Linked DNA regions of Arabidopsis thaliana. The protein of the gene in region 1 purifies or fractionates together with the protein of each later gene. This does not show direct contact. Each region holds a gene or a part of one and is shown on either strand. Other genes may lie near its edges.

Region 1 (8,577 bases):
TTTCCTTTTGATGTACATGATGCATGGTCTCTCATTCTTCTTCCTCATCATATATGAAGGGGGCTTATTCCTCGTGTATCTACTGGTATTATATGTAAAGTGGAAACGGTGTACGCAGATGAAGGTACGCAAACCCAAAAGCGACCTGATTTCTGACAACTTCAAGAACATGGTTTAACCATTTTGAAGCGTTTGCACTTTGTTCCCTCGAAACTTTGTTTGCTTTAACTTTGTAACGTGCACTCATTTTAAAGATTGTATCTTTTGAATAAATTACTGTAGGTGCTTAAGGTTATGGCGGAGTCATTAATATGTTTAGTTTTTGGTTCAGTTTATTTGATAGGCCGGTCTAACATTGTCAATAACGATCAATATTGATATAGACAAGACTCAAGAGTACCCGGCTTTAGTTCGATTAATATGTTAAATCATGCTAAGAGGTGTTCATGAGGGGAGCAGAAATATTATAATTTACCTTAAAAGGGATTCAATACATCCATCCAATGCATAGGTCTATTATATCAAAAGTGCACTGAAGAAGAAAGAAATGAGACGCTAAGATGCGGAGGTAACTGCAACTTGGGTGGTTTCCTTATCCTTAGCCTCCTTAAGTAGCTTCCACTTCTCAATGGTGTCGATGAGTTCCCCTGTTTTGATCAGATATCTTACCTTCTGTCCATCTTCAAGTACCTTGTGACCCACCCGGCTTACTACGTCTTTTTCTTTTGAATACAACATCACATTTGAGCTGTGGATAGGTGCTTCTATCTGGAAAGCATAATACATTTCGCACAATCTTCAATCATCACTCCAATCTTGCAAAGTAAAGGAAAGCTACAAAACTATGATTTCTGACCTTGACAATTTGACCAGGCTCTCCCTCTTCTCGGCTCTTCATGTGTTTTGTTTTGAGGTTCACATCTTTGATCACAATGGTACTGTTGTGAGTGAAAATCTTAGTAACCTCTCCGATTTTACCCTTGTCGCGTCCAGATATTACTTTGACTGTATCTCCAAACTTGACATGCATTTTGTGGAGAATCGGAAGACTGTTTGGTTTGCATTCTTTTCGTTCCCAACGCTTGAGCTGAAAACGCAAAACACATAAATCATCTTCCAATCTCATTGTTTCAAAAGAATCTATCAACAGTTTTCCTTTTTGCTTTTGATGTGTACAAAATCTAAAGAATTATTGTGGTTTCAAAGCTAGTATATTAACGAATAATGCAGAATGTTAATGTAATGGATCTGTGGACTAACCTTTGCAAGAACAAGACATGGGTTCTCAGCGGGCTTGACCTGCAATGAGTATAAAATAATCAGCAGAGTAACAAAGAAACCATATCCTATTGCAGCTATTTTGCATTTCATAAGAAAATGCAAAAAATCACAACCAAATGAACAAGATAGCCACTTTACTCAATGTGAGCCATCACACGCACATTTTCGTTCGTTTAAAAAGTATAGCATTTACAAGTACTAGTCCATTGATTCCAAACCAATAACTAGTCAATCAGTCTAAAGGATGACGTTTTAAGTCCTCATAACTTTCATCTCAATTCAGTAGTTACACTTAAACATAGACAATGCACAAAATTTTATATCCCAGTAAGCAAAATTCAAACTTAAAATGAGCAACAACACAGATTCAATTTGAGAGTTACTTGATGAAATGGGTTTGGATATGAAAAGCGAAGACATGAACCTAATCTATTACGCAAACAAGTGAACTACATAACCTAAAAGCTTGAACAATGATTAAAAACCTGAATTGACCAGAAATCGAAAATTAAAGTTACCGGAGAAGTGACGGAGAGGGAAATCGGGGAAATTAAACGCTGGCCGAGGAAGGAAGAGCTGGGAGATAGAGAAAGAGAAGTAAAAGAGCTCTGAAGAGCAGACATGGTTGCCATTTTTTCTCGCTCTGCAACTTTCACTCTTCTTCTTTTTCCTTCGTCCTATCCGTTCCACAGATGACGATAAAAATTGGATAAACGATTAAACGACACTGTATTATCACTAAACCTTAATGGGCTAGGCTAGGTTTTAATTGGGCCTTGAATTCAATTCTTTTCATAGCCCAAATATATAATATGGTTCTCCAGTTTTGAACTCGTTTTAACACGAAAAAACAAAGAACAAATTTTCATTCACAAATATAGACAATCTAGCGTCTAAAAACCCAAAAGAATTGAAAAACAAAATCACATTTTAAAAGTTAATAATAATTAAAAAAATTGAGACTTTTTTTTCATTTTGTTTACAAAATCACGTCTTCAGCTATACTACTGTCCAAGGAATTATCCCTCCGATGAATTTCTGATCGTAATGATCCGTTTGCAGTTAACTCACCTTCTGACTCCTCCACTATCGGAGGAGGAGGAGGAAGCCGTGGAGACGGCGACGGAGAATTCTTCTGCCGCTTTCTGCAATGTCTCACTTTAATAACACGAGTCAAAACCTGAACAATGTCCCTCATGTTAGGACGTTTTCTAGGTGCACGAGAGATGCATTTGTAAGCAAAAGCTGCTACTTCATTCACTTCTTGTAAATCATATCTCCCATCTAATCTTGAATCTACTATCTCTTCCCATCCGACTTTTTCCTCTGCATTCATAGCCGCCTGTTCATCAACAACAACAAAACGTTTAGTCTTTACATGCAATTCTCCAAACAAAACAATTGGAGATTTCGAGGACTTTTTAGTTTTATGTTACCAGCTCAACCAATTCCATTAGACCTTGTTGAGGATTTCTTCCTGCTATAAGCTCGAAAAGCAAAACTCCGAAGCCATAGACATCGCTTTTCTTGGTGAATGTTCTTGTTGAAATGTATTCGGGATCGAGGTAGCCAAATGTTCCTCTGATGTTAGCTGCATGTTTGTCTACCATTTCTTCTCTGGAGAGGCCAAAGTCAGCAACCTGAAGTTAAAGAAGATCACCATTAGAAACTTGAGGTGGTTCAATAGACTGAGATTTCAAAGAGAAAGAAGATATGTTTACCCGAGCTCTCATAGATTGATCCAGCAAGATGTTGGAAGATTTGATATCTCTGTGGATTACAGGAGGAACAGCCTGGAACAATTGATTAGAACATGAGTTTTGAAGTTGTTGTTTAAGAGATGCATTAAAATGGTGAATGGTTTTAGCAAGCAGCTTACCCCATCATGAAGATACTCTAGACCACGTGCCACGTCTAAAGCAATATATACTCTCAAATCCCAGCTCAGCGGTTCATGTTTTTCGCCTGTATCAAAAGTACCATTTTAGTGCATCTCAAATCTTTACCAAGGCTCATCATTTAGTGAAGTCTAAACCATCAACTCAATAAATGTTCTACAAAGATACCGAATAGCTCAACATTGCATTAACAGTTCATTTAGTGACAAGCAGATTAATATGGTATGTATAACCAGGTAGTTACTTACTGTATAAATGAGAAGCTAAGCTTCCTTTACTCATGTAAACATATATAAGCATGTGTTGGCCTTTCTCTGCACAGTATCCAATCAAGTTCACTAGGTTACGGTGATGCAACCTTCCCAATAACATAACCTGAAAAGATTAAGGCGAGTGGATGAGTTTTTCAAGAAACTAAGCAGATACTAAGAGAGTAAGATATATAGATTGTTCATTCATGTAGCCTGTCTTATAGATGACACAACTAATAAATTGAGTATTAGAGATTTCAGAAAGCCTATTGTAATGCTTAAAAGTCTGCCTAATGCTACATGTTTTACACACTAACTTGTTCTTCGGAAATGAATCCATAGATATATCTTACCTCTGTCTGAAACTCTTTTTCGCCCTGTTTAGAATCAGTGGCTAGAACTTTCACAGCCACGATCTCACCAGTAGACATTTGAGCTTTGTAGACAGGTCCAAATGCTCCTTGGCCTATCAAAGTCGTGAAATTACACGTCGCTTTCTGCAAATCCCTGAAGCAATCACCAAAGACCATATGTCAAAAACGGAATATAACCCCAAGAATGCAAGACCTTCTCATATCCACAACAGCATTCCCCTTTTTAATGAACTTTCAAACTTTGAAATAATAACCAAAGTAACTACTATAACAAGAGAAGTCTAGTCCTGAGTATAGTTAAGACAATAAAATAATAACCTAATCAGGAAACTAAGATTTGTCAGAGGAAGAGACAAACCTGTAAGAATATTCCAAAATGCCAGAAGCAGAGATGACATTACTCCTCTTACTAAACCCTTCAAGCCAAACAGACCTCCCATTCTTAGAAGATTTCACAGGTGAATCCGGACCAATGGTCGAATCCGACATTATATTACACGAATCAGCTCCATTCTCTCTGATGGGAATGGTTGCACTTCTTCGTGATCCACTATTCACAATCTGAGACTTTTTTCTATGATACCTAAAGCAGAACAAAGCTGAGATAGCTAAGACAACACCAATCACCAAACCTAGTGAGATCCCAACGATTAATCCTTTGGATTCTCCTTCCATTGTCAAATACTCTAATAATGGTTTCAAGCTTCTTTAGACGTCTCTGCAAACAAAAAAACAATAATGGATCAGAGAAGAAGTATTTGTTAAATGGCACAATGTCAGAAGAAGAGGAAGACAACAACTAATTTGTCAAATAAGAAATTAGCGTAACGTTGACCATCGAACTCTTCAACAAAAGCTTGGCTGCCAAAATGGATTCATTCAGCTAAAAATCAATTCGTATCTTCTTCAAACAAATACCTCAAGAGGACAAAATTACTGAAGCTCTATACTATAGATCCCGAGGAAGAAGGATTTGAAAATGAATCTCGAGAATCGCGTAGACTTTTGAAACGCGCCGATTGAATAAAACCTTTCTTAATTCTCTAATTTTCCCTAATTTTCGTTGTTTAATTTTCCATTATTTCGTCTTCTTCTTCTTCCTTCAGCGCAACCAAACCCCCAAAGAAGACTTTCTCAACGAAAACAACAAAAATCCCCAGGAAGAAAAGAAAAAAAATCACACCTACTACACACAATAACGACAACAAAAAATCGCTGAAGACCAAAAAAAAAAAAAAAACAGGTGAATCGAATGTGTTACCTGGAGAAATGTGAAGGATTATAGAAAATTGGTGCATTTTAGCAGATGAATCATAAAAAAGGAAAGTTTTGAAGAGAAAAGGAGAGAAATATTTTTGCAGAGCTTTGCTTTGATTACAGAGAAAAGAATCCAAAGAATAGTGAGAAAGAGACTGAGAGAGAGGTTCTACTTCAAGCAAAAATTATCTTTTTTATTTTATTTATGTTGTAATGTGTTAGAATAAAAAAAAGTTAAAAGTTAAATATAAAATTTGTTTTTACAAATGTAACAACTTCTTATTCAAAATTAAAAGCTAAAACAATGAAACGGAAAGCTTCTTTTTTCATTTTTCTTCTTTTCTTTAATTGGTTGTTTAATTAAATTTACGTTACTACTCCTACTATAATTAGATTGTGTGATGATTTTATGTTAACAATTGATTACATAATTTTAATTTTTATGTACTATACTCTATATTACAATAAATTGTGTCTTTATATAGAAAAGAGTAACAAGCTCATGGTAATAAAATAAATCATTTTTCTACTAATTTTGAGTTTTTGACTATTGACTAAATATGATTATATTAATGTGAAAGAAATGTAAAAAAAAAAGAAAAGTGGTAGTTCAGATATCAGATAAGTAAAATAGAAAGGTGTATTTCCATATAAATAAATAAAAATTATATAAAGGAGAAATATAAATTTGTGTTGGTGTCGTGTGAATAATGGACCCCACGAATATGACTATGCTTAATATGATTGGATGAATTTATTCTTTTTAGATCGTACATTCTTATTAGTCTGACCTTTTGGTTTTCCGCGACGAATTTTCCAGGGTTTGATTACCTGTATCGCGGTCTTTGTACTTTTGGTATACCCTCGAGTATTATAAAACAATTCAATGGAGTAATTATTTTACAGATTGATGATGATACAGATTATGTTATCCACATATCAAATTCATCTTATCATTTGAGAGTTTGGAGATTAGTTATTAGTTGAGATTGATAAGATAAGATGTGGAACTATAAGTCTATAACTAGTAGTAAGCAGTTACATATATACACCTAACTTACCTAATGTCACATTCATCAAGATTATTAGTTGGAGCTAATTTTCATCCAAATAAATGAACCTAATAAGTATAAGATAAAATTTTCAAACAAAAAGTAACTGCTATAGACAAAATAAGACAATGAAATTAATTCGAGATGACATGAATTTATTGCCGAATTATCCACACCATTCTAACAGTTTCGTGAAATCAACTTTGAGTATGTTTAACTTGTTTTAAATCTACTGACATGGTTCTAGACATTTATTGATTTAAGCGATGATTAACACTAATTCGAAAATTTAGTAAAATATTGCTTACGTTGTGTGCACTAAAATGAAGATAAAACGAAGATAAAATCCCGGGATTACTGCCGCAAGTAATTCTAAATACTTGGACAAAAATATTCACCACCAGCGCACGGAACGAAACAATTTGGCACACAAATGATTGACGTAAAACGACACTTAATTCTGCTTACACTTCAATAATACTATTTTTTATATTTTAAGAGTTGAACTAGCTGCTATGTTTTTATGCTAACAAAACAACTATAAGCAATAACTAGTTGAATTGTTCATTTTACAATCCACTTGATGAAGGCAAAACAAATAACATGTTTTTAAATTTGTTAATGAGTAAAGTTCATCGGAAAACAACGTCGTGTAAAGTTGTTTTTTCAACTATATTTCTCTTTAGGATTAAAATTTACGAAATATCAAATGCAGTAGAGGTTAAAGAATTGAAAGAAAAAAACATTACAATTCACTTCTTAGATTATACAGAGTGGCTTAAGCCAAGCCAAGACAACCAAGAGAACACGTGAAGATCCTCCATGTTATTGTATTTGACCGCCTTATATGTAACAACATGTGTGAGAGAGATAATTTATATGTATACATTAATCGGATATTGTTATTTTATCGAGATTTTAATGTTTCTTTGCGTAGATTAATTATATGTTATTTTCATGAGAATAGAAAGGGAAATTAAAAGAAGAAAAGATATCTTAAATTATATTTGGGATTTTGGAGGGAAAAAAGATGAATTTGATAACTTGAGAGCAAATATTCCCCAAGTTCAAAGTTTACTTGTTCCATGGTCGCATAATCATTAAGCAAGACATGTCCTCTCCACGTGCACGGTACAACCCCACGTTCTCATGTCTCCACTCCATGTATAGAATACATAGTCGTTCGTATGTGTTGCATTTATATATTTGGAGATTTATTGATTACGAAGGAAAAAAAAGATAAGCCAACATGTGAGAATGTGATTAAAGATACAAAAAAACGCGTTAGCGACTTCTTTAGTACACTAGTAAGTAGTAATATATTAGGGTATTAGAATTTGAGAAAATTAAGGTACAAGTCTTTTCTTTGATCATGCAAACCTAATAATAAGTATATAGTCTATTTGGTTCTTCTGGATTGACGTCGAATAAGGAACTCACCAAAATAATTAAATGGGCCTTTTGCTGTTAGTCGTGCCCATAATACGGCTATATAAAATAATTCACTATAGAAACGAACTGTGACACTCACAATACACTTTCAAAATTCAAAGTCGAACAAAGATTTGGATGGAGAATAAACACATAAATCAACCACATTCAAATCAATAAGTTTGTACATGTCAATATGTTTCGAAAATCTGACATGTTTGCAAATAAACCAAAATTTTGAACGGACTATTCAAAATCAATATAATGATAACTAAATAAAACAAAATTTCCGGACTTAAATGAGTTTCTTTAAATCATACATTACATTCATTAAATAGCCAAATTTATATATTAACACTACCTAATTAAAATATTGGATGCGAGATTTTCGTTATTACCAAACATTGTAAGGCTAGCTTGCAAATATTATAAATTTGGAAAAACGATTTTCTAAATTGGCTAGTTTGCCAGTTAATGATTTTTTTTCCTTAACAACTTTGTAAATATTTGTAGTGATTGATATTTGAAACAAAGAATAAGTCGTGTTACTCTTTTCCTCGTAAATTACGAGTCGTAATACAATAATTTGTTTGTAAATCGTCATTTTCTGCAAGTTTATTCTTTATTTCCAAGAATTGAAAATAAGTTGGCATTCGATATCTATTTAAACTGTATGTTCCGTTGATTCAGTACTGTGACATAACTTAGTCATATTGCCATATTGGTATAAATGGTACTCTACGTGTTGCATAGCCCAAACTATGTTCGTTTGAGAGTTTTGCATAAGCATAAGTTTTCAGTGGTAGTAAAATCAAAGAAGTATATACATTAATGCTACATCTTTCCATTAACAATAACATATTTATCAATATATTATACACATAAACTTCACCAGAAACTTAAACTCAAAACATGAACGGAGTCGGCGAGAATGCCGGAATCACCGGTTCGAAAGCATTTCTCCTGCAAAACCCAAAAAACAATTTTAAAAACGTCAAAAACATTAGTATGCGTTATATATATAAGCCACTAG
Region 2 (6,946 bases), on another chromosome or scaffold:
AATCGAATGAAACATGAGAAAATTTTAAAGATGTAAACTCTGGGTTAGAGAAGATGCAAAACCCTAATTATATACCCATTTCAAAAATCTTTTCTTAAAATTTCAAAGAAATATATACGTACAGATGTATAAACATCATATGTACGAGGAGAGATACATACGCCAAATGAAAAAGTATCAAAAGTTTATATTACCTTAGAATTACAAGAGAGTACGTTACGAAGCTTGTTGAGATGAGAATTGATCCTCTCTCTCCTTCTTCTCTCAGCTTCTTTGTGGTTCCTCAAAGCAGCTAAAGCTCTGTCTTGAGCCATCGTTTCTCCGATGCCGGAGATCGCCAGTGGGTAATACGATGACGTCGACGACGAAGACCCACATAAGCTCTGCATAGTCGTCATGTAGTCGCCGGAGACGCAGTACCCTCCACCGCCGACTTCGTTTCCGGCAAGAAACGAGTACAACATCTGATCTGAGGTCTCTGGTTGCATTATCTTTTGTTTGCGCCGCCTTCTTTTGGTTTTTTGTTAATTAATGGGGTTTGTGGAGCTTTCGGTGGGTTCTGTCCTAAAAGATGGATTATATATACGTGAAATGAGAGGGTAGAGAGTGTAGATTATTTTTTTTATTTTTTTTATTTTAGATGTTAAATACTTGATTTTTGTATTTATATATATATTGGTGGGGAAAAAGTTGCTATAGAGTTTGAAATTTTTAGGAAGGGTCCTTAATTAGGTCATTGTCTTGCCACCATCATCATTCTAAATAGTTCTATATGATCCATCAATTGAACTGAAGATACATACGGACTTTTGGGACTATATAGTATATTACTGCATTTCCAAAATTCAAAAATTCAAAAACAAATCTCAAAAAATTGAACATTCTTTAAATCTTTACTTATGAATAATAATGATGTTTTACCACTACCATAATAATGATCCTTTAAGTTATTATGATAAGATACCATTTCTAAGGTATTAAAGATAAACAATAAAAGGCATATCCTGATATGATTTATGCTGCTTCTATCATTGTGTTTTGTCCGGATAAATCTCACACAGTGCAATGCGATAACATAAATTTGTTATTTAACAAAAATTAAATAATATACAGTATTTGTTTTAACTTAATGTCTGGAAAAACTTGAGTATTCAAAAGCCCTAATTTTTTTTTTTTGACAACATAAAAGCCCTAAATAATCAACAAATTTGATAATCATAAGAGAAAGCTACTGCAGAAAAATAATTTACGAATGAGACAACCATATGATATGAGGAAGGCTTCGCCATAAAATATGGGCCTAAATTATATAAAAAATAAGGACCCAAATAGTGGCCCAATTACAAAGTTTTGGTAAAACGGTGACCACAAAACTGGCGCAAGCCAGAACCATGCAGTAGAGACAGAGCTCGACCTTTGACTTTGATAATGGCAGTTTCTTCGAAACATTTCCAGGTTCCTTCATCTTTCACGCTTCCTCCATCTTCTTTCTTCAGCTCCTTAATCCCTTCTTCTCCAATCTCTGTTACTGCTTCAACGATTCGAGCCTCCACAAAATTTAGCTCCATACGCGTCCGTTTCAGTCGAAGATCAATCGTCAGATACAACGACCACGCCGGAGAAGACGAAGAGGATAGTGACGAGGATAAGGAAGAATATTGGAGCTTTGAGGAAGCAGTGACTCTCTTCAACAAGAGGGATTATTACAAAAGTCATGACGCGCTTGAAGCTCTTTGGATTCAAGCAGAGGAACCAACTCGTACCTTAATCCATGGAATTCTTCAATGTGCTGTTGGATTTCACCATCTATTCAACAACGTAAATCTACTCTCCTTTTAACTCCATCTATTGCTCGTTTTCGTTCACGTTTGAGGTAATTTTAGTGAGTGTTTTGGGATTTGAAGAACCATAAAGGAGCGATGATGGAGTTAGGAGAAGGAGTATGTAAGCTAAGGAAGATGAATTTCGAAGACGGACCGTTTCATGAATTCGAGCGAGATGTCTCCGCAGTTCTTGAATTCGTTTATCAAACTCAGCTTGAACTTGCTGCCTGTAAGTTTTGAATTTTGAATTTTTGATTGAGGAAACCATTTAGCAAATTGAACCTAATTGTGACACTCAAGAAATCTGAATTGATTGATGATAGGTTCAGAAGATATGTGTTTGACGATGGATCAATCAGACAGATCGTATCAACTCTTAGGTGGTTATGCAGCTGGAGAGAGTATTTACAGCTTAGAGACTGTGCTTGACTTCAACAATGGAATGTCTGAGACAACTTCTATACTCTTCTCTCCTTTACATTCATCGTCTGAGCCAACTCGGGTTAAGCTCCCTACCCTTACCGCAACCGATAAGCATCTTCTTGCTTCTACATACGACGACAGATTCTAAAGAGAATGATCAATACGAAGATAATAGAAGAAGATCTCATTACTGTTATATTTCAAGAATCAGGTTCTGAACCTGTCAATAACATGAACAATGAGTCATTTAGACAAAAGGTAAAAACACATAACATTCCTGTCTTTTTAACCAGCAAAAACCAGCCATGAATGAAATTTTAGAACAAAGCGAAGGAACATTCTTTATGAAATTACATAAGAAGGTAGTCAAAAAAAAAAAAGGAGAAAGCCGAAGAAGTTGTTTCAATCCTCACTTAGCCATCATAACCTTCACAAACTCTTCGTAGTTGATCTGACCATCACCATCAACATCAGCTTCCTTAATCATCTCATCAACTTCTTCATCAGTAAGCTTCTCGCCGAGGTTAGTCATCACATGTCTCAATTCAGCAGCTGAGATGAAACCGTTCTGGTCTTTGTCGAAAACTCTGAAAGCTTCCTTGAGTTCTTCCTCAGAGTCAGTGTCCTTCATTTTCCTAGCCATTAGGTTCAAGAACTCCGGGAAATCAATGGTTCCGTTACCATCCGCATCAACTTCGTTGATCATGTCCTGAAGCTCAGCTTCGGTTGGGTTTTGACCGAGGGAACGCATCACGGTACCAAGCTCCTTTGTGGTAATGCAACCTACACAAAGTAATCAAAGATTGGTGTTACTACGATGCAAATCCAGAATCAGAACAAATCAATAAAAACTGGTCAAAATACGAATTGAAAACATGAATCATCACTAACACCACAGGGCTGATTCACAAATATTTCATCCGAACTACATAGATCTTTAATTTGAACAAAGGCACAAACAAATCCTTGAATTCAATAATGATTTGGAACATCGAAAACGAAAAGAGTCAATGCGAGGATACGAACAATGGATCCGTCACCACGGTAATCGATACATATCAAAAGGGAACCAAATCAAGCAGAAACTAAATCAGAATTATACGGCCAAGACCTACGATGATAGAGGGAAAGGGAGGATGAAGCATACCATCACCATCCTTGTCGAATAAGCTGAAGGCTTCCTTGAATTCTGAGATCTGATCGTCTGTGAGCTGATCCGCCATTGTTTTTTCTTTTCTTTTCTGTGATTGGAGAAAAAGGGAAAAACGAAAGAGTTTGTGAGACGATTCGTGTGCTACGAATGCGGACTTGAGGCGTTTTATTTACCTGGATTATTGTTAATGTCGGGAAGGACCTCGGTTTGGGGATGAAATTACGAGAATGCCATAAATTTGAGTTTTAAATTTAAGCGCCAGGTTGACATGAGAAGAGATGGATCACACGTTCACGCGGTTTCTACGCGGATCGTTGACTTTGCCATCTCACCTTTTCCTTTCCAGTGAGTCGCCTCCTTTGATTTTCCTTGGTTCGTTGGTTTCTGGTTCCAATTCGTTAGTATTTGTTTTCTCGTTATTGTTAAATGCTGTCTTTTTTAAAAAAAAACATTTATTAGAATTATCAATTGTGAAGTATTCGTTTGGATGGTAAGTGGAGCTGTCGCTACATTTGTCTAAATTATTAAAGATTTTGCTTTTAACTACTACTTTTTAATACTACATTGTCTGTAACATTATATGTTTTTTGGAAGTGCATCGAACGTCCTTGTTTCTGCAATAACAATCACAAAGCAAAAATTTGCATCGGATAAAAACAAATCGAAGAAATACATGCTTATGACAATTGATTAACATGGTAAGATATGAGGCTTAGCTGATTTGATCACTGTATGTGCCAGATCATTAACCGATTTATCATATTAGATCAATTTTTAGTAGTGAGCTACCAGTTTTCAATGATTAGTTCTGCTACGTTTCAATGTTTTTCTCAAAAGATACATTAATACCCCAATTATATTCGATACTGAAACCATATTACAAACTCATTTTAATAAATTGCACACAACTGAAGATGGTAACACACTAACACATGCAATAAATTTATTACATAGAAATTATTGTCATTAGATGAAACGCCTTTTGAGAGAGATCTAACATAATTGTCAGACCCTATTGGCATAAAGTTACTGACGTGTCATTTCAAGATAACAGCGCTTCGAACAAATCTTTAAACCTATCTTTCATGAAGTCGGAAATTGGCGAAGCGATGATATTGCTGGCAACCCCGACCGCTATGTCCCTCTCCCAATTGGTGCCACCAGCTCTGTCATTTCTAGTGTGACGCTGCACTTGACCCTGACCTTGATTCACAACTCTGTACGTTTCTTTCTTAGACTGAGTGTCAATCATTTTACCAGTCATTACACACACAAACTCAGAGAAACTGATGGTTCCGTCACCATCTGCATCCGCTTCGTTGATCATGTCCTGGAGCTCAGCTTTTGTTTGGGTTTCACCAAGGGAGCGCATAGTAGTACGGAGCTCATTCACGGTAATGTAACCTACAAAAAGTAAGCAATGACTTATGTTAGTCATTTCAGTGCTTTGAAGATGATCAGGATCCAATATGTACGATTAGCGAGAAAGGGACGATGAACCATACCATCACCATTCTTGTCGAATACGCGGAAGGCTTCCCTGAATTCTAAGATCTGATCGTCAGTGAGCTGATAATCCACCATTGTTTTTTTAGTGTGACGCGGCGCTTGATCATGACCTTGATTCTTAGCCATTAGGTACAAGAACTCAGGGAAATCGATGGTTCCATCACCATCTAAATCCACTTCGTTCATCATGTCCTGAAGATCAGCTTTTGTCCGGTTTTTACCGAGGGAAAACATCACGGTACGGAGCTCCTTTTTCGTAATGGAACCTACAAAAAGTAATCAAGGACTAGTGTTAGTCATTTCATTGCTTTGAAGATGATCATGATCCAACATTACGATTAAATGGAAAGAGTTGATGAACCATACCATCACCATTCTTGTCGAATAACCTGAAAGATTCCCTGTACTCTGTAATCTGATCGTCAGTGAGCTTATCCGCCATTGTTTTTTTAGTGTGACGCGGCGCTTGATCATGACCTTGATTCTTAGCCATTACGCACAAGAACTCAGGGAAATCGATGGTTCCATCACCATCTAAATCCGCTTCGTTCATCAAGTCCTGAAGATCAGCTTTTGTCGGTTTTTCACCGATTGAACGCATCATGGTACCGAGCTCCTTTTTCGTAATGGAACCTACAAAAAGTAATCAAGGACTTGTGTTAGTCATTTCATTGCTTTGAAGATGATCATGATCCAACATTACGATTAAATGGAAAGAGTTGATGAACCATACCATCACCATTCTTGTCGAATAACCTGAAAGATTCCCTGTATTCTGTAATCTGATCGTCAGTGAGCTTATCCGCCATTGTTTTTTTTGTTTTCTGTGATGACTGAAAGAAGAGTTTGTGAGACAATTTGTACTACGAACCAGGACTTGAAGCCTTATATAATAGTACCCGAATTATTTGAAATGACGGCTATATCCTCAAACTTTTCCACGTTCACGCAATTTCTACGCAGGATCGTTGTCTGCCATGTCAGCTTATCCTTTCAAGTGTGAGTCGCCTCCTTTGACTGGCAATTACTTGGTTGGTTCCTTCTTCCAACTTGTTTTTTTTTTTTTTTTTCATTTATTTGAAAGAAACATTTATTTACAATGGAATTTTGGATGGGTGAGTGGACATTTGCCTAATTTATATTTTAGGTTATAGTTTTCTTATACTGACTCCGAAGGAGTGTCCTTATTTATGCAAAACTAAATAAATCATAATAGAGAAAACACTTGCATAAGATAAAAATGAATCGAAGAAATACAAGCGTATGACAATTGATTAGCACATGTTTAGTAAAGTGTTGTTGTTGAAGTTAACGAACGTTACCAATGAAATCTGATCTGAGGGATTCCACAAGTGCATTCTACTTGAGAAAGAGCAGAGAAGTTTCTACATCCTGAATATTCCTGATTTAACATCTCTGCTGTGGAAGGAATTCGCAAGACAAGTGTGTGGAAGGTTAGAAGAAACTACACAAACGACCAAAAACATGGTACATAAGAAATAACGAGAAAGACCACAGAAGTTTCTACCTTGCGGGGATGGCTTGAGCAAGTAAAGTTGACAGAAAACCACTTCCTGTGCCCGACTCAAGAATCACGGGCAGGGGCAATCTCAAGGTAGACTAGAAAGCTACTACTACCCGCCGCAATGTAAAGAATCTGAGTCTTGTGACCTGTTTCCATATGACCCAACATGCCACATGTACTGCATACAAATTTACCCTTGTTGCTTTGGATTTTGGGCCAGCGAAATTACACGGGTACAAAATAAGAAAAGCCCATATCGAAGACATGTTATCCAAGTTTTCTGATATTGAACATGCAGTAATTTTCCACACATTGTAGTCCAAATGGGTCAAAGGGCGTCCTTTGTTTTGCTCAAAACACTTGGGTTATCGAAATTGTAGACGTGTGTTTTCAATGTTGCAGGGCAGGTTGGTGCGAGGCATGTCATTATTCATTAGATGAGTCCTTATAAGAGTCTTGAAGAACTCTGGGACGGTGAGATATGAGGCTTAGCTGATTTGATCACTGTATGTG
Region 3 (7,686 bases), on another chromosome or scaffold:
TGAGCTACAAATGATCAATTCAAGTATTCACTTGGCCCAACTTCTAAATTCTTTAGGTGAGTTGTTGCTAGCACAACAAATGCTACAACTGTCAAAAGCAAAGAGACAACACCTTCAAATATTAGGTTTGACTAATAAACAGAGGATCATGGTGACGATCTTTGCCAACTCTCACCAAATCAACCTGAAACCTTCAAAACAGATTTGATGCTATTGGATCCAGCGCCAATAGGACACTTGTCATTAGCTCATTTACTTTTCTATTCTTTAAAATGATGAGTGAAATCGAAAAGTCTTGAGCAAGAAATACAGATTACAGTTTCTTCTTCTCCAAGCATCTATTGTTTAAGAGAGAAAAAGAAGAAAAGCCATGGAGAATGAACAATCAACGCACGTTCACTTCGCGAGTCTCTCTTCGTCAAGCGAGCGCTACAATGGTACTTTTTTTCCAGAACAACTTCTTGAATCTTAACATGCCTTCACATTACTCAATACTCCAAATGTTTTGTTGCAGAAACATTTGAAGAGATAAAGAAAGCGATGAAGAAAAGTGTTCAGCTTAAAGCGGAGCTATCAGCAAAGGAGAGAAATCTTGTATCAGTGGGGTACAAGAATGTGATTAGCGCAAGGAGAGCTTCATTGGAAATACTATCATCCATTGTGCAAAAGGAAGAGTCAAAAGGAAATGAGGAAAATGTCAAGAAGCTTAAGAATTATCGAAACAAGGTTGAAGATGAGCTTGCCAAAATTTGTAATGACATCCTGTCCGTCATCAATAAGCAACTCATTCCATCGTCTACCACTGTGGACTCCTCTGTTCTTTTCTACAATATGTGAGCGAAAATGTGTTGTTGTGGTGCTTGAGGCGCAAAAGTGTTGCACTGTTTTGGCTATACTTTATGTTCTTTCCAGGCTGGCAGACTTCAGTTCTAATGCTGAAAGCAAGGAAGCTACTGATCAGTCTCTTGATGCATATAAGGTCCTTGGCTCATGTTTGTTTTTGTGCCTTGAGCTCGGAACAAAATAAACTGAACAATATGTTTTGTGTTTTGGTAATGGCAATGTTGGTTGTTGTTACTGCTGCAGAGACTGGTTTGGTACCAACAGTTCCAGCTATACATGACTTTGAATTGGACTTCTGTTTTCTTAAACTCTCCTGAAAGGTTCCTTTGCTTACATGCATACATATGATTATTTAATGAAATCGGTGTGGTGTTACTTACTAACAGTCTGAATCAGTGAAACTGTGTGTTGTACAGTGCATACCAATTGGCAAAGCAAGCGTTCGATGATGCAATTAATGAATTTGACAGTAAGTGATGAATCAAACAAGGACATGACTCTTATTATACAGCTACTCAGAGACAATCTCAACATGTGGACTTTAGACCTCACAGAAAGAGAGGAGGTAATCTTTTTATTTCCCTATCTGCCTCCTCTGATGATAGATAGATAGTTTCCTTTGGAATCAATATAAGCCATTTTTGTGAAATTTTGTTAGTTCTTGTACTGTTATGAGGAGCCTAAACTTTGATTCGAATGTTAATGCTTGGGAACATATTTACGGCTTTGTGGATCTTTCATTGCTTAAACGCCAAGTTGTTGAATTCAAGCAAATTTTGTTGCAAGAAACCAATTAGCATACTAGTTTCTTGTTCTCTTCCAAATCATACACTCAACTTTTTTTTTGTTTCCTCTTATCCAAAAGTGGTGATGAGCCCCAAGAAAAAGGTATGAAAAAGCCAGTTATGTCAAAATTTAAGCTACTTGAAGATTATATTTTTCATTTTGGCATTGCTAATGGAGTTACTATACCATTGCAGAACTGAATCTTGAATCCTATGCGAGAAAAGAAACGACTCTTGATGCATATCCTGAGTCAAGATGGGTTGGAATCTGTTTTACACTTAACTTGCTTCTCCTGTGTTGAAATTTCAGAATATAAGACACCATTTGGGGTTTTGTTTGTCGGAGTATACCTAAAGAATCATTGCTTGTCACCGACGTTTCTTCATTCTTTCTTTTTATAGCCAAATGAATACTATAATCCCATTGGAGCACTGAGGAAGAAAACTCGAGAATTGCTTGGTACATCTTCCTCTATAGCAGTTGCAAACAGTTCCACAAATAAAACACAATGAAAGTTTTTCAACGCCTAAGCTAAGTCTTTCAATAATGAAACCCTTTTCAGTGATAAATTTCTGCAACTATTTGCAACATCTCAATCTCTGAAAGACTTTGCTTAGAATTATAACAACAAAACACAACCAAATTGTAGTAAACTGATCCATCTTATTTTTAATCCTTCCAAGGATAATGACATTTACCAACAACAATGATAAGGATAACTTTTGCTTATTTTGTTTGGCAATGTAAATCTCTTACAAATAGCAAACACTTTGGTTAACATATATATATGCAAACCTAATCCAAAAGTACTTTCACATATTTGTAAAAACATCCTAATATTTATATCCCGATGATTAAATATAACAAATCAACCAATTATAATAACAAAACCCCCCATCACCCACCACAAAACTCCATTCCCCACTCCTTTTTTGTTCATTTTCTTATCGTCTTTAAAACACACAATTTACACAACGAACGCACATAAGCTATAGCAAGAAGCAGCTAATCACAAATTGAAACTTAGACCGGTCCTAAACCGAACCAGAATCATCAGAGTCGAATCCAGTGAAAACAAGCTTTTTTGTCCTGATGAATCTTTGATTGAAATTATTATATAAGGAACCCATCTCCCCGTAAGTATCCTTTCAGAGAGTTTGTCATCTGAATCGGACCACGACACAAGATATGTCGTCTTTACTCTCTCTTCTCAATGCTTCAGCTGTTAATTCCTTTGCCGCTTTCTGTGGATCTTTCACTCTTCTCGCTATCTCCATTGCCTCTTCATTTGTCATCACCTATTAACATGATCATTACAACAAAACAATCAGACAAAAATGGTCTCAAAACACTCATTTAACAAGAGATGAATAATATATACAGAGAACAAGCCATTATTACCTTCCAGATGCCATCACTAGCCAAGAGAAGAACATCTGTCTGGCTATCTACAGTAGCTTCTTTTATGTCAGGCTCTGAACTCAAGTGTGTCTTAAGTCCCTTATCTCCAAAAGCACGAGACACAGCTAATTGACCATTCACCCGAGGAACATCACCTGTTATTAAAACATCACAGCCACATCATCCTCCTTGTCAACAAAATCATTCTATCTTCATTAAACATTCAATACTCAAAATAAGTTCTTTACCTGGTAGATTGGATACAAATCCACCTCTATCTTCAATACTCGACCTTTCAGTACGAGGCTCATGATCTGTACTCATCTGCGTTATAGCGCCACCATGAGAAAGAACAGCTCGTGAATCACCAACATTAGCTATCCACAACTTTCTCCCATTAATCAATATAGCAGTCACAGCAGTAGAACCACCACGACCCAAGTCAGAACTATTCGATAGAATCGCTTGGTCCGTCTTCTCATAAGCTTTTGCAATAGACCTTCGAGGATCAACCCAAAACTCTCCCTGCATAAAAAAAACAATACACTTAAAGCTATGCACATGTTCATTAACCCAAGAACAGTAGAACAGTAACCTTTTTTTTTGTTTTTACCTCCTTAAGGATATTGGAGAAGAGACGTTTCTGCAAGTAAGCAGGGACACTATCACCCATATGACCATCATAAATAGCAAAAAGACCCAATTCATGGTCTTGGATGTTGATAAAGTTAGCAACATGATAATCTTCCATTGGATGGTTAGCTTTTCCTTTCACTAGACTAAAACCATACTTGATCATCCCTTCATCACTTCTTCCTTTACCTGATCGTGATGATGATTGTCCTCCCACAACCTAAAAACCCACACCAATAAGATCAATCAAAACACAAAGCTCTCAGATCTTTCACTTCTAAGACAAAATTATTTCATCTCATAACAAAAAAAAAGAAATTGTTATATAGCCAAAAATTCGATAATCATTACCTCAGAAGCGGAAGTGAAGCAACAAAATTTTCCCATTTTTTTTGAATCGAAGAAAATTTCTTCGATTTTTGCAACCTAATTGAAACTTGCGGAGATTTATTCAAATAAACAAAACAATCTGCAGAAAAAATAAATTCAGAAAGCGAAATTAAAATCTTCATTGAGCAGCTGGGAGATGATAAGAAAGAGGGGATTTTTACCTGGAAATTAAAAACCCTAATTTGGTTTTCAATTTTTTTTTGTTTGAGGTACTCTCAACGATAAATCTACAAAGTCTATGCGACGAAGTCTTCGCTCTCTTTTCGTTTATGTCTTTTTCCTACGCGAAATTATATATATATATATATATATTTTTATTCAGTTGAAAGAAAAATAAAAATTGAAAGCTATCTGTATTTTTTTAATATTGCATCAACGTCCTTCATATATATAAATATTTACTTTACGCCTCATATGAATGAATTTTAAATTGTGACTATAATAGATTTCGATTATTTAATTTGGGTAACAATAATTGCTTAACCTTTAAATTGTAGTTTTGTTTAGGTGATGAATTTGTAACATACATTTGCGTTGTATTAAAGTAAAATGAGGGTGTAGATATGACAATAGGAACTTTGGGATAAAAGTGAGAGGTTTTGGAATTTTGGGGGTGAAGGTTAAGATAAATTAGGGGAAGAAAAGGAGAGAGAGAAAGGGATGGAGCAAAAAGGAGTGATCTGGTCAAAGAAAATAAAAAAGCTGCCATTTAAAAATTTTAGTCTTGGCTATTTGGCATGTTGACTTCCTCTTCCTTTACATTTATGTCATCTCCTTAACAATCCCTATTTTATTTTTTTATATGCGTTTTTACTATTCAGACATGAAAAAATGTGCGAAACTATTTAGAAAATTCATATATATTTTATTCCTGATATACAAATATCCAGAAAAATAAAACACAATCCTTTGGTTTTTGATATTTATTAGGACGTATTCCGCAAGAGTTTTATTTAATATTACAAAATATAAAACATTTTTGCTTAGAGAGATTATTATGAGTAAGTAAAAAGTAAATGAATGTTTCGTTTTCACACAAATTAATGCATGAAATTAGCAGTTTCGTAGAAAAACATATCCATTTTGGATTTGATGGCATAACGATTGCGGTAATTTTTACATTTTCTTTATACAACTAAAAGTTCAAGAACAATTATGAAGTGCTTAATTGAGTAAAATATAAAATATCAGGTCTCTTCCCCATTACCAGAAATCTCAAAGTATCAACGAATGCGACAAGAAAGTGGAAAGGGTCAAAGGCTTCGACGCGTTTACTAGCCATCTTTTTGTTTCTCCATTTAATGTGATTCGCACACATTTCATGACTTTTTGACCCTTAATCTAGTTTATTTAATCAAACACACATCAATTTAGCTACCTTAGCTTCCTTATTTATACATACAATTTTGATTGCTAGCCTAAAACAAACGATTTGTTGCTTAAAATAATAAACTTGTTCGTCTAAACCTCCGTGATATGTTCCTCTAAATTAGGTTCATAGGCCCCTAGTCATGTACAGTAGAACATCATGTACTCATTTTCAATTGTGGGCCTTTTATGAGCCCATTTTCTTACTATGTAAAGTACTGGTACTGTATGTTAATGAGCCCAACAGCACAAGAATGTGAAACTAGATACAATGTATGAGTTTGTATATATATACAAATACTGATAGTTTTATTCTATGCTTATATGAATGGCTTCTGATCTACATGATTTGTACTGCTTTCCACTTTCTTCCTTGTGATTCTTCTCAGGTCTCAGAGAGCACTCCGCTTGGAATCAGTGTTCTGTGATGCCAATAATTCAACAGAAAACTGTTAACCTCAAGAGCAAATGAACCACTAATAACACCAACGTATACCAAATCTACAAATATAGAAACAGCTATAAAGATGACAAATAGATTTAACACTTTTGATTGATGCAAAGGTTTTATCAATGTTTTTTGAAGACAGCTACTGGATCAGAAACAGATTGCGGATTATTTCTCTTAACAACATTTACAAGTTTTTGAAACACTAGGATATAGTTATTCCACGTTATAAAAATGAGATAGTTGATGCAAGCAGCAAAATGTTTATGTAAATCGGTGAGCAAGCTTTCACAAATAGTATGTATCTGAAAGTGAGAGAGAGATAGGGAACTGACTTTGTGTGGTAGACTTCAATCAAATGCATAGGGATCATCAGCATATGGGTTGAGGGAACCTTCTGAAAACAAGTCTCCAATATTTGCAGAGTGAGGATGATCGGCCATTGCTGTTTCCTGCGCTTAAAAGACCAGAATAATATGCAGTTAAATCAGAAATGTTTTTAGAAACCTAGCATCATCCATAACTTCTTGGCCTGAAAACTTCTACATTATACTCGCATAGACATAAAGCTTGGTTAAGCAGCCCTAAGTCTGACCTCCTATTGTTCCATTATGTCTGTCAGTTAATCTATTTTACTATTAAGGAAGGTGTGACGAAATGAATATAAAACGTTTTGTGAAAATATGATTTTTCTCCTATCATCAAATCTACTTTTTTACTCTCTGCTTCAACACTAGTTGACTGATGTGAGGGTTTGTTCATTTCAAAGCATCAGTTAAAAGTAGTGTATTTGTATTTTACCTTCGCGATGATTGTGGGGGTCATCAATTTGGGTGTCAACCTAGTACTGCGTCTTTGTGGCTCCTGTTGCCAAACAATGTAAAGTTAGATATCTTGAATATGTCTATATAGCAGGATGGACAAGCTGACCTGAAACATTGTTGTCTGTCTTGTTTTTCTCCGTTTAGGTATCCTCCCATTATTCGTTTCAACCTCATACTCACGATGAGTTACCTGCCAAGTTGAACCACAAGCCAAACAATGAGGTTGATTTCAATGTAAAAATGCAAAGCTTCATATGTTTACCTTGCTATGATGCTTTGGATTTGTCGCTTCCTTCAATATATTTGACACAGATGTTACTTTTGCCTTTACAAAAGGAGATTCCTGCGTTTGATGATCCATGAGAAAGTGTTAATGTGTTGCCTTGACGAAGCGGAAACGAAAAGAAGAAGAAGATATTTATGATTCTCTGACTGTTCGTCATAATTTTCTGTCCTCACCGTTATATGCTCGCTTCTCTTATTACCACCAAGACGAGATTCTTTCACTTTGACCGACGAATGTGAATAGTCCTACAAGGTAATAAACACCATGTCAATCTCTTACCCTGTTTACGTTATGAAAATAAAGAAAGGAGAACTTGCATTGTCAACTGAATGTTGTATATCTTAAAGTGTATAGATAACGATTAAGGAAGAAAATGAAGTCCAATCTAACCTTGTTTGAGTTTACTTCTTGCTCCTCAGGTGGATTGTCACTCATCACCTTCCACTGTAACTGCACCAAAGCTCTTTGCCTCTCTTCCTGCAAGGTTAGCCCATAAGTTAAACTCATAAAGATTCATCTTATAATGGATCTTAAAAAGCACTTACTTTTTTCCTTTGAAGATCTAATTCTTCTTGCAGCTTCTTGCAGTCATCTTCATACTGACACTTGAATGCTTTCAACTGAGCATCATGCTCACTCTTCAGAGCTGTTATCCTCTGGATAAATATACAAAATATTCGAATACCAGAGGCTCCTTATTCTTTCAT

What was found. Proteins that work in one complex are often made in the same cells at the same time.
Region 2: the proteins of CRLK1 (region 1) and CAM2 purify together in Arabidopsis thaliana (affinity purification with mass spectrometry, with the first as the bait; one study listed by BioGRID). This does not show direct contact.
Region 3: the proteins of CRLK1 (region 1) and PAPP2C purify together in Arabidopsis thaliana (affinity purification with mass spectrometry, with the first as the bait; one study listed by BioGRID). This does not show direct contact.

What each region holds. Positions count from the first base shown.
Region 1 is NC_003076.8:22,176,382-22,184,958, reverse strand, and holds CRLK1 (Protein kinase superfamily protein), read right to left. Parts: upstream 5,260-8,577; 5' UTR 5,066-5,259; intron 5,029-5,065; exon of another isoform or gene 4,523-5,028; 5' UTR 4,480-4,522; coding exon 4,163-4,479; intron 3,938-4,162; coding exon 3,784-3,937; intron 3,555-3,783; coding exon 3,428-3,554; intron 3,247-3,427; coding exon 3,161-3,246; coding exon of another isoform or gene 3,075-3,160; coding exon 3,003-3,074; intron 2,922-3,002; coding exon 2,718-2,921; intron 2,624-2,717; coding exon 2,261-2,623; 3' UTR 2,131-2,260; downstream 1-2,130. Other genes in the region: ANK (ankyrin), read left to right, coding at 1-178; RPL24 (Translation protein SH3-like family protein), read right to left, coding at 556-768, 857-1,087, 1,261-1,299, 1,800-1,913; AT5G54585 (uncharacterized protein), read right to left, coding at 8,450-8,507. UniProt on the Arabidopsis thaliana protein: Required for cold tolerance, via the activation of MAP kinases activity. Phosphorylates and activates MEKK1 in response to cold in a calcium-dependent manner.
Region 2 is NC_003071.7:17,136,902-17,143,847, reverse strand, and holds CAM2 (calmodulin 2), read right to left. Parts: upstream 3,620-6,946; 5' UTR 3,470-3,619; coding exon 3,358-3,469; exon of another isoform or gene 3,030-3,357; coding exon 2,656-3,029; 3' UTR 2,455-2,655; downstream 1-2,454. Other genes in the region: AT2G41130 (basic helix-loop-helix (bHLH) DNA-binding superfamily protein), read right to left, coding at 195-488; AT2G41120 (DUF309 domain protein), read left to right, coding at 1,429-1,818, 1,905-2,052, 2,147-2,394; AT2G41105 (uncharacterized protein), read left to right, coding at 4,689-4,793, 4,843-4,917, 5,362-5,397; TCH3 (Calcium-binding EF hand family protein), read right to left, coding at 4,442-4,803, 4,905-5,174, 5,275-5,541, 5,642-5,717. UniProt on the Arabidopsis thaliana protein: Calmodulin mediates the control of a large number of enzymes, ion channels and other proteins by Ca(2+). Among the enzymes to be stimulated by the calmodulin-Ca(2+) complex are a number of protein kinases and phosphatases.
Region 3 is NC_003070.9:7,870,600-7,878,285, reverse strand, and holds PAPP2C (phytochrome-associated protein phosphatase type 2C), read right to left. Parts: upstream 4,420-7,686; 5' UTR 4,215-4,419; intron 4,133-4,214; 5' UTR 4,051-4,132; coding exon 4,015-4,050; intron 3,884-4,014; coding exon 3,626-3,883; intron 3,556-3,625; coding exon 3,279-3,555; coding exon of another isoform or gene 3,232-3,278; exon of another isoform or gene 3,186-3,231; coding exon 3,031-3,185; intron 2,928-3,030; coding exon 2,790-2,927; 3' UTR 2,455-2,789; downstream 1-2,454. Other genes in the region: AT1G22290 (14-3-3 family protein), read left to right, coding at 371-437, 515-833, 913-979, 1,087-1,163, 1,260-1,312, 1,389-1,456; ZYP1b (Myosin heavy chain-related protein), read right to left, coding at 6,220-6,321, 6,671-6,733, 6,800-6,883, 6,956-7,036, 7,153-7,224, 7,370-7,456, 7,525-7,635. UniProt on the Arabidopsis thaliana protein: Involved in the regulation of phytochrome signaling. May regulate phytochrome-interacting factor 3 (PIF3) through the dephosphorylation of phytochrome.